2 linked regions of the Macaca fascicularis genome follow. The protein of the gene in region 1 purifies or fractionates together with the protein of each later gene. This does not show direct contact. Links are inferred from orthologs where the notes say so. Each region holds a gene or a part of one and is shown on either strand. Other genes may lie near its edges.

Region 1 (4,376 bases):
ACATGTCCAGGGATGGTTAGAGATCATAATGTTATCTGCCTCCACAATATCTTTCTTAGATCTCTGCAGTTTTTTCAGGGAAGTTATAGGGATTTCTGGGTTACAAGGCTGTAAGAGCCTTGTTTCTGGGAGTGAGTTGGGCCCTGTTGCTTCATGTTGTTTTGCATGCACTGAGCAGCTCCTCAGTGATAGAGCAAATCCTCCAGGTTTTCTGTGACCCCCTGGTTTGTGTTTTCCCCAGTGCTCTGTGCCCCTGCCTATTTGCCATGATTTGTCTTCTGAGGCGTAAAAGGCAGATGCTGTCAGATGACAGAAAATTTTGCTTTGGGGCCAGGCTTGGTGGCTCATGCCTGTAATCCCAGCACTTTGGGAGGCCAAGGCGGGAGGATCACTTGAGCCCAGGAGTTCCAGACCAGCCTAGGCAACATGGTGAAACCCCGTTTCTACCCAAAATGCAAAAACTAACCAAGCGTGGTGGCACATATCTGTAGTCCCAGCTACTTGGGAGGTTGAGGCAGGAGGATCGCTTGAGCCTGGGAGGTGGAGGTTGCAATGATCCAAGATCCATTGCACTCCAGCCTGGATGACAGGGCAAGACCTGTCTCAGGAAAAAGAAAAAAAAAAAAAAAAAGAAAAAAAAAAAAATTTGGCTCTGTCACTTGAGAGTTAGCTTTATTAAATACAGACTGATAGATAACGCATTAATTTAAAATACTGTAATATCAAGAAACACCAGTGCTACTTTGCCACCCACTGAGAAACACAGCAGCATCATGAAGAATGTGTTTTGGAAATAGCATTTGCAGGCTGGGCACAGTGGCTCACGCCTGTAATCCCAGCACTTTGGGAGGCCAAAGTGGGCAAATCACCTGGGATAAGGAGTTCAAGACCAGCCTGGCCAAAATGGTGAAACTCCCATCTCTACTGAAAATACAACAAAAATTAGCTGGCCGTGGTGGCAGGTACCTATAATCCCAGCTACTCGGGAGGCTGAGGCAGAATCGCTTGAACCTGGGAGGAGGAGGTTGTAGTGAGCTGAGATTGCGCCACTGCACTCCAGCCTGGGTGACAGAGTGAGAGTCCGTCTCAAAAAAAAAAAAAAAAAAAAAAAAAAAAGCATTTGCTGTTAGCTCATTTGTATGTATGGGGCATGGGGTTGGGGGAGGGTGAAAGGAAATCTGCACACTAGGAGGAGGACTTGTTCCGGAGCTTTGCCGCTCCAGCAGTCTGGGCCTCGCTCCAGAGATGCTATAGCTCCATGAGTAGCTGTAACGGACCCAGTTATAAAGCAACTGCTTGTTAAAACCTATTGTCTCCTACTTCCCTCCAGACAGCTTCCAAGATTTTCATTTCCCCCAAATTTCTTTCCTGTAGGCTACCAAAGACTAGATCGTATGACAATCTGAGCACAGCCTGTGACAACACAGTGCCTCTAGCCAGCCGGCGCTGCAGCGACCCCAGCCTGAACGAGAAGTGGCAGGAACACCGGCGCTCGCTAGAGCTGAGCAGCCTGGCTGGCCCTGGAGAGGATCCCCTTTCTGCCGACAGCCTAGGGAAGCCCACCAGAGTGCCGGGGGGTGCCGAGCTTTCCGTTGCAGCTGGAGTAGCCGAGGGGCAGATGGAGAACATCTTGCAGGAGGCCACCAAAGAGGAGAGTGGAGTAGAGGAGCCTGCCCACAGGGCAGGCATTGAGATGCAGGAGGATAAAGAGAACCCTCTCTTAGAAAAGGAGAGCAGGAGGAAGACGCCTGAGGCCTCAGCCATTGGACTTCACCAAGACCTAGAACTGGGTGATGCTGCTCTGAGGAGCCATCTGGACATGAGCCGGCCTCTGTTTTCACAGGGTATTTCTGAACAGCAGGGTGGGCTCAGTGTTCTCCTCAGTTCTCTCCAGTTCCCCCCGAGGGATGAGGATTCCCTGGAGGTCCCTGTGGAGCAGTTTCGAATAGAAGAGAAGGCAGAGAGTAGGGAGGAAGCAGTTCTTCCAATCCCAGTAGATGCAAAAGTTGGCTATGGTACCTCACAATCATGTTCTCTGCTACCTTCCCAAGTCCCTTTTGAGACCAGAGGACCAAATGTGGACAGTTCTACAGACATGTTAGTGGAAGATAAGGTGGAATCAGGAAGTGGGCCCCAAGTCCATCATAGACCTTGCCTTGTTAATAGTGGCAAGGACAGGCTTCCCCAGACCATGGAACCCAGCCCTTCAGAGACAAGCCTGGTTGAGAGGCCCCAAGTGGGGTCTGTGGTGCATAGGACTTCCCCTGGCAGCACTCTCAGCCTGACACGTTCCCCTTGTGCCTTGCCTTTAGCTGAATGTAAAGAGGGGCTTGTGTGCAACGGTGCCCCAGAGACTGAAAACAGGGCCTCAGAGCAGCCCCCAGGTCTTAGCACCCTCCAGATGTACGCCACACCCAATGGGCATTTCGCCAATGGGGAGGCTGGTAGGAGCAAGGACTCACTGAGCCGTCAGCTCTCTGCTATGAGCTGCAGCTCTGCCCACTTACACTCAAGGAACTTGCACCACAAGTGGCTCCATAGCCACTCAGGGAGGCCATCTGCAACCAGTAGCCCCGACCAGCCTTCCCGCAGCCACCTGGATGATGATGGCATGTCAGTGTACACAGACACAATCCAACAGCGCCTGCGTCAGATTGAGTCAGGCCACCAGCAGGAAGTAGAAACTTTGAAGAAACAAGTCCAGGAGCTGAAGAGTCGCCTGGAGAGCCAGTACCTGACCAGCTCCCTACACTTTAATGGAGACTTTGGGGATGAGGTGGTGAGTAGGCTGTGGTATTCCTCCATAGCTGCCTAAGGAGACAGGGCACACTAAGGCTGGGTGCCTTTTGTGCCAAGAGCATGGTGATTGGTACAGGTTGTTATAAGGATTGGAAAGGTCCAGAGTAACCCTGTTAAGAGAGGCTGGAGATGAGCCTCTGCCACAGCAATGGCAGCCTGCCTGTTTTCTGCTTTGCTTACTTTCCACAGATGTCCTATTGAGGCCGTTGGAAAGGAAGAGACTTAGCATGCACTACATGGTTGGTCAGATCTCTCAGACACAGGATCATAAGTCTTCAGAAGGGCTTGAACCCGTGGGCAGAATGACATCTGTAGGGCAATGCCAAGTTATTCCTGTCAGATTTTAGTGCCTATTCTACCTTAGTAACTGCAAAGTATTAGCCCTTCCAGATGTAGGCTATGACTTTGAAGGTTCAGTTCTTTTTAAACAAATATTTATACCCCACCCTGTGGCAGATGCTGGCAGTAGAAATGGAGAGAAGGGACTGGTTTCTAGCACTGTTGAGGAGTTAGCTCTGATGGGGGTTGGTGGCTGGAAAGGGGTTCCAGAGGGGAGGTTCTCAAGGAGATGCTTTCTTCTCTGGGTAGAGTTGATTCAGGCAGCTCAAGTACAATTGTGAGCCTGGCTCTCAAGTGGTCAGCGTGCATTAAAGGCGGGCACATCCAATGACTTTCAGTTCAGAGTGACTTGGCTTTTCCTTCATGCTAATGAGTTTCTCATGTTCCCAGAGAGTCCTTCCAAAAAGAGGGCGGGCATCTGGAAAGCACTCAGCTTTAACTAAGTGGCAGGCAGGTTTGGATTGACAGGCCCACTGGAGCAGCTGACATACAGAATTCTCATTCCATTTGGGTCACTTCTCTCTCACTTTCTGGAACCCTGAGGCCTGTCTTTCCACTCCAGAGTCACTGCACACAACCTGTGTATCCGTCTCCCAGCTGAGCCCAGGCCCACACTGCACTTCTTCACCCAGTTCTTGATGGCTGATGCATCTGCAGATTCGGCAGTCCTAGCACTCGGCCCCACCCAGAGTCCTCAGTGCTCCCCTCTTCACCAGGCCTTTTCTTCTTTTGGGAGGAGACGAGGTTCATTCTGTTCAGCTGTGTTTGTTTGCCAACAGACTTCAATCCCCGACTCGGAAAGCAATCTGGATCAGAACTGTTTGTCTCGCTGCAGCACAGAGATTTTCTCTGAAGCCAGCTGGGAGCAGGTGGATAAACAGGACACGGAGGTACAGGCTCAGCCCCTGCTCTGAGTGCCATCCATTTAACTGTTTTGTGGTTCTTCTCCACCCCCATTCCCACCCCATACCCCTGGCCAAGGAAGCACCTCACAGCACAGCTAGGCTTGAGCCTCTGGCACCTCAGCTCCTGGGAACCCACATGAAGCCTAGGATTTCTGAGCCAGGGAGACTCAGCAAGCTGGCCCTCCCTCTTCATTGCCTCTATGAACTGGAGCCTTGCCAGCTCTCACAGTGACCCAGGGTGCTGCTGCCTGCTACTTTATCTCAGGGGAGATTGGAGTCCCCTCCAGGGAAACGATTTGGACGCCTTTCTTGTACTGTTGACATCAGATCTGG
Region 2 (4,376 bases), on another chromosome or scaffold:
GCCTGGCTAATTTTTTGTATTTTTTGTAGAGACAGATTCTCACTTTGTTGCCCAGGCTGTTCTCAAACTCCTAAGCTCAAGCAATCTGCCCGCCTTGGCCTTCCAAAGTACTGGGTTTACAAGTGTGAGCCACTGCACCCAGCCAGCATGAAAATTTTCAAGTACACATATAGAGCATAATGTAATGGATTCCCTCATACTTACCAGATTCAATAATTAGTTATCAGGATTTTGTCAAGTTTGCTTCATTCATTTATTTTTGTTTCTTTGAAGTATTTTTTAAAGTTAACCCCAGGCACTTTGCCATTTTTATACATAAACTTCAGAATACTTCTCTTAAAAAAGATGGACATTTTCTTAAAAATCAAAAAACCACATGCCATTGCTTAGGTTGTCATTGCTTCTAGGTCTCTTCAGAGAACAGAATTAGGAACTGCATTTGTGGCAGTGGGGAAAGACTGACATTGAGTCTGTGTTGGTATTTCCAAATCACACATTTTTAAACATTTTTTTATATTATTGTAAGCTTATGAAAAACGTAGCAGAGACCAAAAAGACACTCCCATTCTCCCCTTTTGCCCAGATTCACCAGTTAACACTTTTTTTCGCATTTATCAATTGCCCTCTTTTTTCTGAACATTCAAAAGTTGTATACGTCCTACCCTTTACCCTTAATGCTTCAGTGTATGCTTCCTACAAACAGATTCTTTTACATAACAATAATACCTGGCACAATTCCCAAGTTCAGGAAATTTAACATTGATACATACTGTCTTACAGTGATTTTCTTTTCCTCCACTGGGGAGTTGCTGCTTTTCTTTTGGTAATTTTTAAGTGTCTGATTCAGACACAATATTAATCTGTTTTTACTTGTTTGGTTTATACTCATATTTCTTTTCTCTTAAACTGAAAATCTTGTTCCCTTACATTAATATGCTTAAAATTTTCAACATATATGAGTTCCTGTTATTAAATGATATTTTATTTTCTTGCATTTCTAATTGTCTTTAAAGTATATTTCACTAAGGATACATAGTTTTTTTGTTGTTTTGTTTTTTGTTTTTTGTTTTTTGTTTTTTTTGAGACGGAGTCTCGCTCTGTCGCCCAGGCTGGAGTGCAGTGGCCAGATCTCAGCTCACTGCAAGCTCCGCCTCCCGGGTTCCCGCCATTCTCCTGCCTCAGCCTCCCGAGTAGCTGGGACCACAGGCGCCGAGGATACATAGTTTTAAAAAGTCACTTGAAATACTTTTTTGCTCTGTGGATATATCACCAATTTGATGTACAACTTCAGTTCATTTTTCAGTTTTCAATTTTTAGGCATTGGTTTTTCTTAAACTTCATTTTGGAATAATTTTAGGCTTATACAGAAAAGTTGCAACAATAAAAAACTCCCCAGAGTTTCCACATACCTTGCAGCTACTACAGTGGAATTTTTTTTGAGACAGGTCTTAGGACTTGCTGTCACCCAGGCTGGAATGCAGTGGCTCAATCATAGCTCACTGCAGCCTCAACATCCTGGGCTCAAACAGTCCCCGTGCCTCACCCTCCAGAGTAGCTAGGACTACAGGCATGTGCCACTATACCCAGCTAATTAAAATTTTTTTTCTTTGGGAAGCCGAGGTGGACGGGTTGCCTGAGTTCAGGAGTTTGAGATCAGCCTGGGCAACATGGCAAAACCCCATCTCTACTAAGTACAAAAAATTAGCCAGTCATGGTGGTGTGCACCTGTAATCTCAGCTACTCAGGAGACTGAGGCACAAGAATCACTTGAACCCGGGAGGTGGAGGTTGCAGTAAGCCGAGATCTCACCTCTGCACTCCAGCCTGGGCAACAGAGCAAGACTGTCTCAAAAAAAAAAAAAAAAAAAAATTTTTTTTGTAGAGACAAGATCTCACTATGTTGACCAGGTTTATCTCAAACTCCTGCCCTCAAGTGATCCTCCTCTGCCTCCCAAAGTGTTAGGATTACAAGCGTGAGCCACTGTGTCCTGCCTACAGTGATGTTCTAATGGCAATTTTTCTTTTCCTTACTTTTTCTACATTTAATAATTGGAATTCTCCTGTAAGGAAGAGCTGTTCCTTCTCTCCCATTGATTTATTTATTTGGTTATGTCTGAAATAGACTCATGGATATTTTATTCTTTGGGCTATATTTTAAAGGATTACTTATTTCTCTGTTTTCATTTATTTTTTTTAATTTGAGACAGGGTCTTGCTCTGTTTCCCAGGCTGGAACACAGTGGCACAGTTGTACCTCACTGTAGCTTTGACCTCCTGGGCTCAAGTGATCCTCCACCCTCAGCCTCCCAAGTAATTGGGACTGTAGGCACGTGCCACGTCTGACCAATTTTTAAATTTTTTGTAGAGATGAGGTCTTGCCCTGTTGCGCACACTGGTCTCGAACTCTTGAGCTTAAGTGATCCTCCTGCCTCAGCCTCCTACTTTTTGTCTTTCAGTTTTAATTTTTCATATAGCATTTTAAAAACTTAAGGAAATTTTCAGTTACCCAAAGGTGGAGAGAACTGTATGATGAGTCCCATGTTTCATCTATTTTTACTACTTATCAACATTTGGACAGACTTTTTTTATTTATTCCAGCCTCTGCCTTTTTTGTTACTGGAGTTTAAAAAAATTATTATTTACTATTTATTATTATTTATTATTTATTTGAGACAGTCTTGCTTTTTTGCCCAGGCTGTAGTGCAGTGGCAAGATCATGACTTAGAGCAGCCTCCACCTCCTGCGTTCAAGTGACTCTCCCACCTCAGCTTCCCAAGTAGCTGGGACAGCATGTCCAGCTAGTTTCTGTATTTTTAGTAGAGACAGGGTTTTGCCATGTTGCTCAGGCTGGTCTCAAACTCCTGAGCTCAGTCTACCTGCCTTGGCCTCTCAGTGTTGGGATTACAGGTGTGAGCCACTAGGCCTGGCCTTGCTGGAGTGTTTAAAGCAAATCCCTAATATCTTATTATTTCATACCTAAGTCCCTATCATGGCATTGTTTTTTAATTGAAAACTTAAACATTTTATATTATGCAAGGAGAATTACCACATGTTGGTGGGGGAATAAATAAATAAGGAAAAAGACAACAAAAATAATCTGTGTTTCTACTGCCCAGATATAATCAGCGTTAAAATTTCATGTATCTTTTCAAGCTTTTTTTGGTTATAAATAAGCATATAAAGCAAATTTTGGGGTGGAAAAAAATTTCTTGTGTTTTTATTTAAATGCCAACTGAATCCATTCTGTGGATGAACTGAACTACTCAGCCCTTCCATCTGCCTGGATGCTGAAGATGCTTTTAATTCTTTGCTCGAAGCTGGGCAGCTCTGAGCTGCTGTTGCCTTCAAGCTGTTTGCCTGAGTGGCAGGTCGTATCCTGCAGGGCCACATCGTTGGGTCAGAGGCCAGAGCATCTGAAGATCTGTTGCCTCACAGTGAGCACTTGTGCCTGTCACCTGAGCATGGCAGCTGCTGCTCTAATAACCAGGCACTGACTCAGTTTCCCCAAAGCAATGGTAGCTAAGAGAATTTTTCTTTTGGAAGAGTTTCAGCTGTGGCAGGGGAGTCCTATGCCCTTCCCAACGCCCCTGTTTTTGTCACCTTTCTAGGCTTGGAGAACCCCCTGCCTGAGCGTACCCGGGAAAAGGAAGAACCAGTGGTTCGAGAGACAGGTGAGGTGGTCGACTGCCACCTCAGTGACATGCTGCAGCAGCTGCACAGTGTCAATGCCTCCAAGCCCTCGGAGCGCGGGCTGGTCAGGCAAGGTGGGTACTGCGGGGCCCTGGGCGGGGCAGGATTGCTTGGGGCATCTGGAGAAGGCAGGAGGAGCCTTGGCCAACAAAGCACTGGTGACTTGTCCAGGCCCCGTCTCCATAGGACCATTGGTTTCCCCATTTCCTGATATCCGAGGCCCTGCTTGCTGTGGCTCCTGCCTTCTTTTCTGATCCGTCTCTTACTCTAGCACCTCGATGTGCCACCTTCACACGCTGTTTCTTTTGCTCAGTAAGTTCCTGTTGTTTCTTCAAGACCCTTGAAATAACAGACCCAGACGTACTGCAGCCTCAGGGCTTTCTCCCTGGCCCTGGCATGAAAGCACTTCTTCCAGACACCACATGGCTCACACTGTGGCCTCCTTCAAGTGTCTGCTCCGGTGTCACCTCCGTGAGCATCTCCCTGGCCCCTCTGCTGGTGCTTCGCATCCCCTTACCCACTGCATAGTTTTCCATAACACTTCTCACCCAACATAGTCCAACACGTCCTTCTTCTTTGATTGGATTTAAAGTAAGGTGTTTGTTGCATGCACTGAATATAACATTTTCATGTGTTTGCAGCCGGCGTCTGTCTTCACAGTTTCCTAATTACTCCAAACTGGAAAACT

Evidence for each region. The genes of interacting proteins can lie anywhere in the genome.
Region 2: the proteins of MTMR3 (region 1) and PLK1 purify together in Homo sapiens (affinity purification with mass spectrometry; 4 studies listed by BioGRID and IntAct, with this or other methods). This does not show direct contact. The link is inferred for Macaca fascicularis from reciprocal best matches to the Homo sapiens genes MTMR3 and PLK1.

What each region holds. Positions count from the first base shown.
Region 1 is NC_088384.1:21,641,576-21,645,951, reverse strand, and holds part of MTMR3 (phosphatidylinositol-3,5-bisphosphate 3-phosphatase MTMR3), read left to right. Parts: intron 1-1,374; coding exon 1,375-2,779; intron 2,780-3,917; coding exon 3,918-4,028; intron 4,029-4,376. UniProt on the Homo sapiens protein: Lipid phosphatase that specifically dephosphorylates the D-3 position of phosphatidylinositol 3-phosphate and phosphatidylinositol 3,5-bisphosphate, generating phosphatidylinositol and phosphatidylinositol 5-phosphate.
Region 2 is NC_088394.1:22,754,508-22,758,883, forward strand, and holds part of PLK1 (serine/threonine-protein kinase PLK1), read left to right. Parts: intron 1-3,606; coding exon 3,607-3,762; intron 3,763-4,376. UniProt on the Homo sapiens protein: Serine/threonine-protein kinase that performs several important functions throughout M phase of the cell cycle, including the regulation of centrosome maturation and spindle assembly, the removal of cohesins from chromosome arms, the inactivation of anaphase-promoting complex/cyclosome (APC/C) inhibitors, and the regulation of mitotic exit and cytokinesis.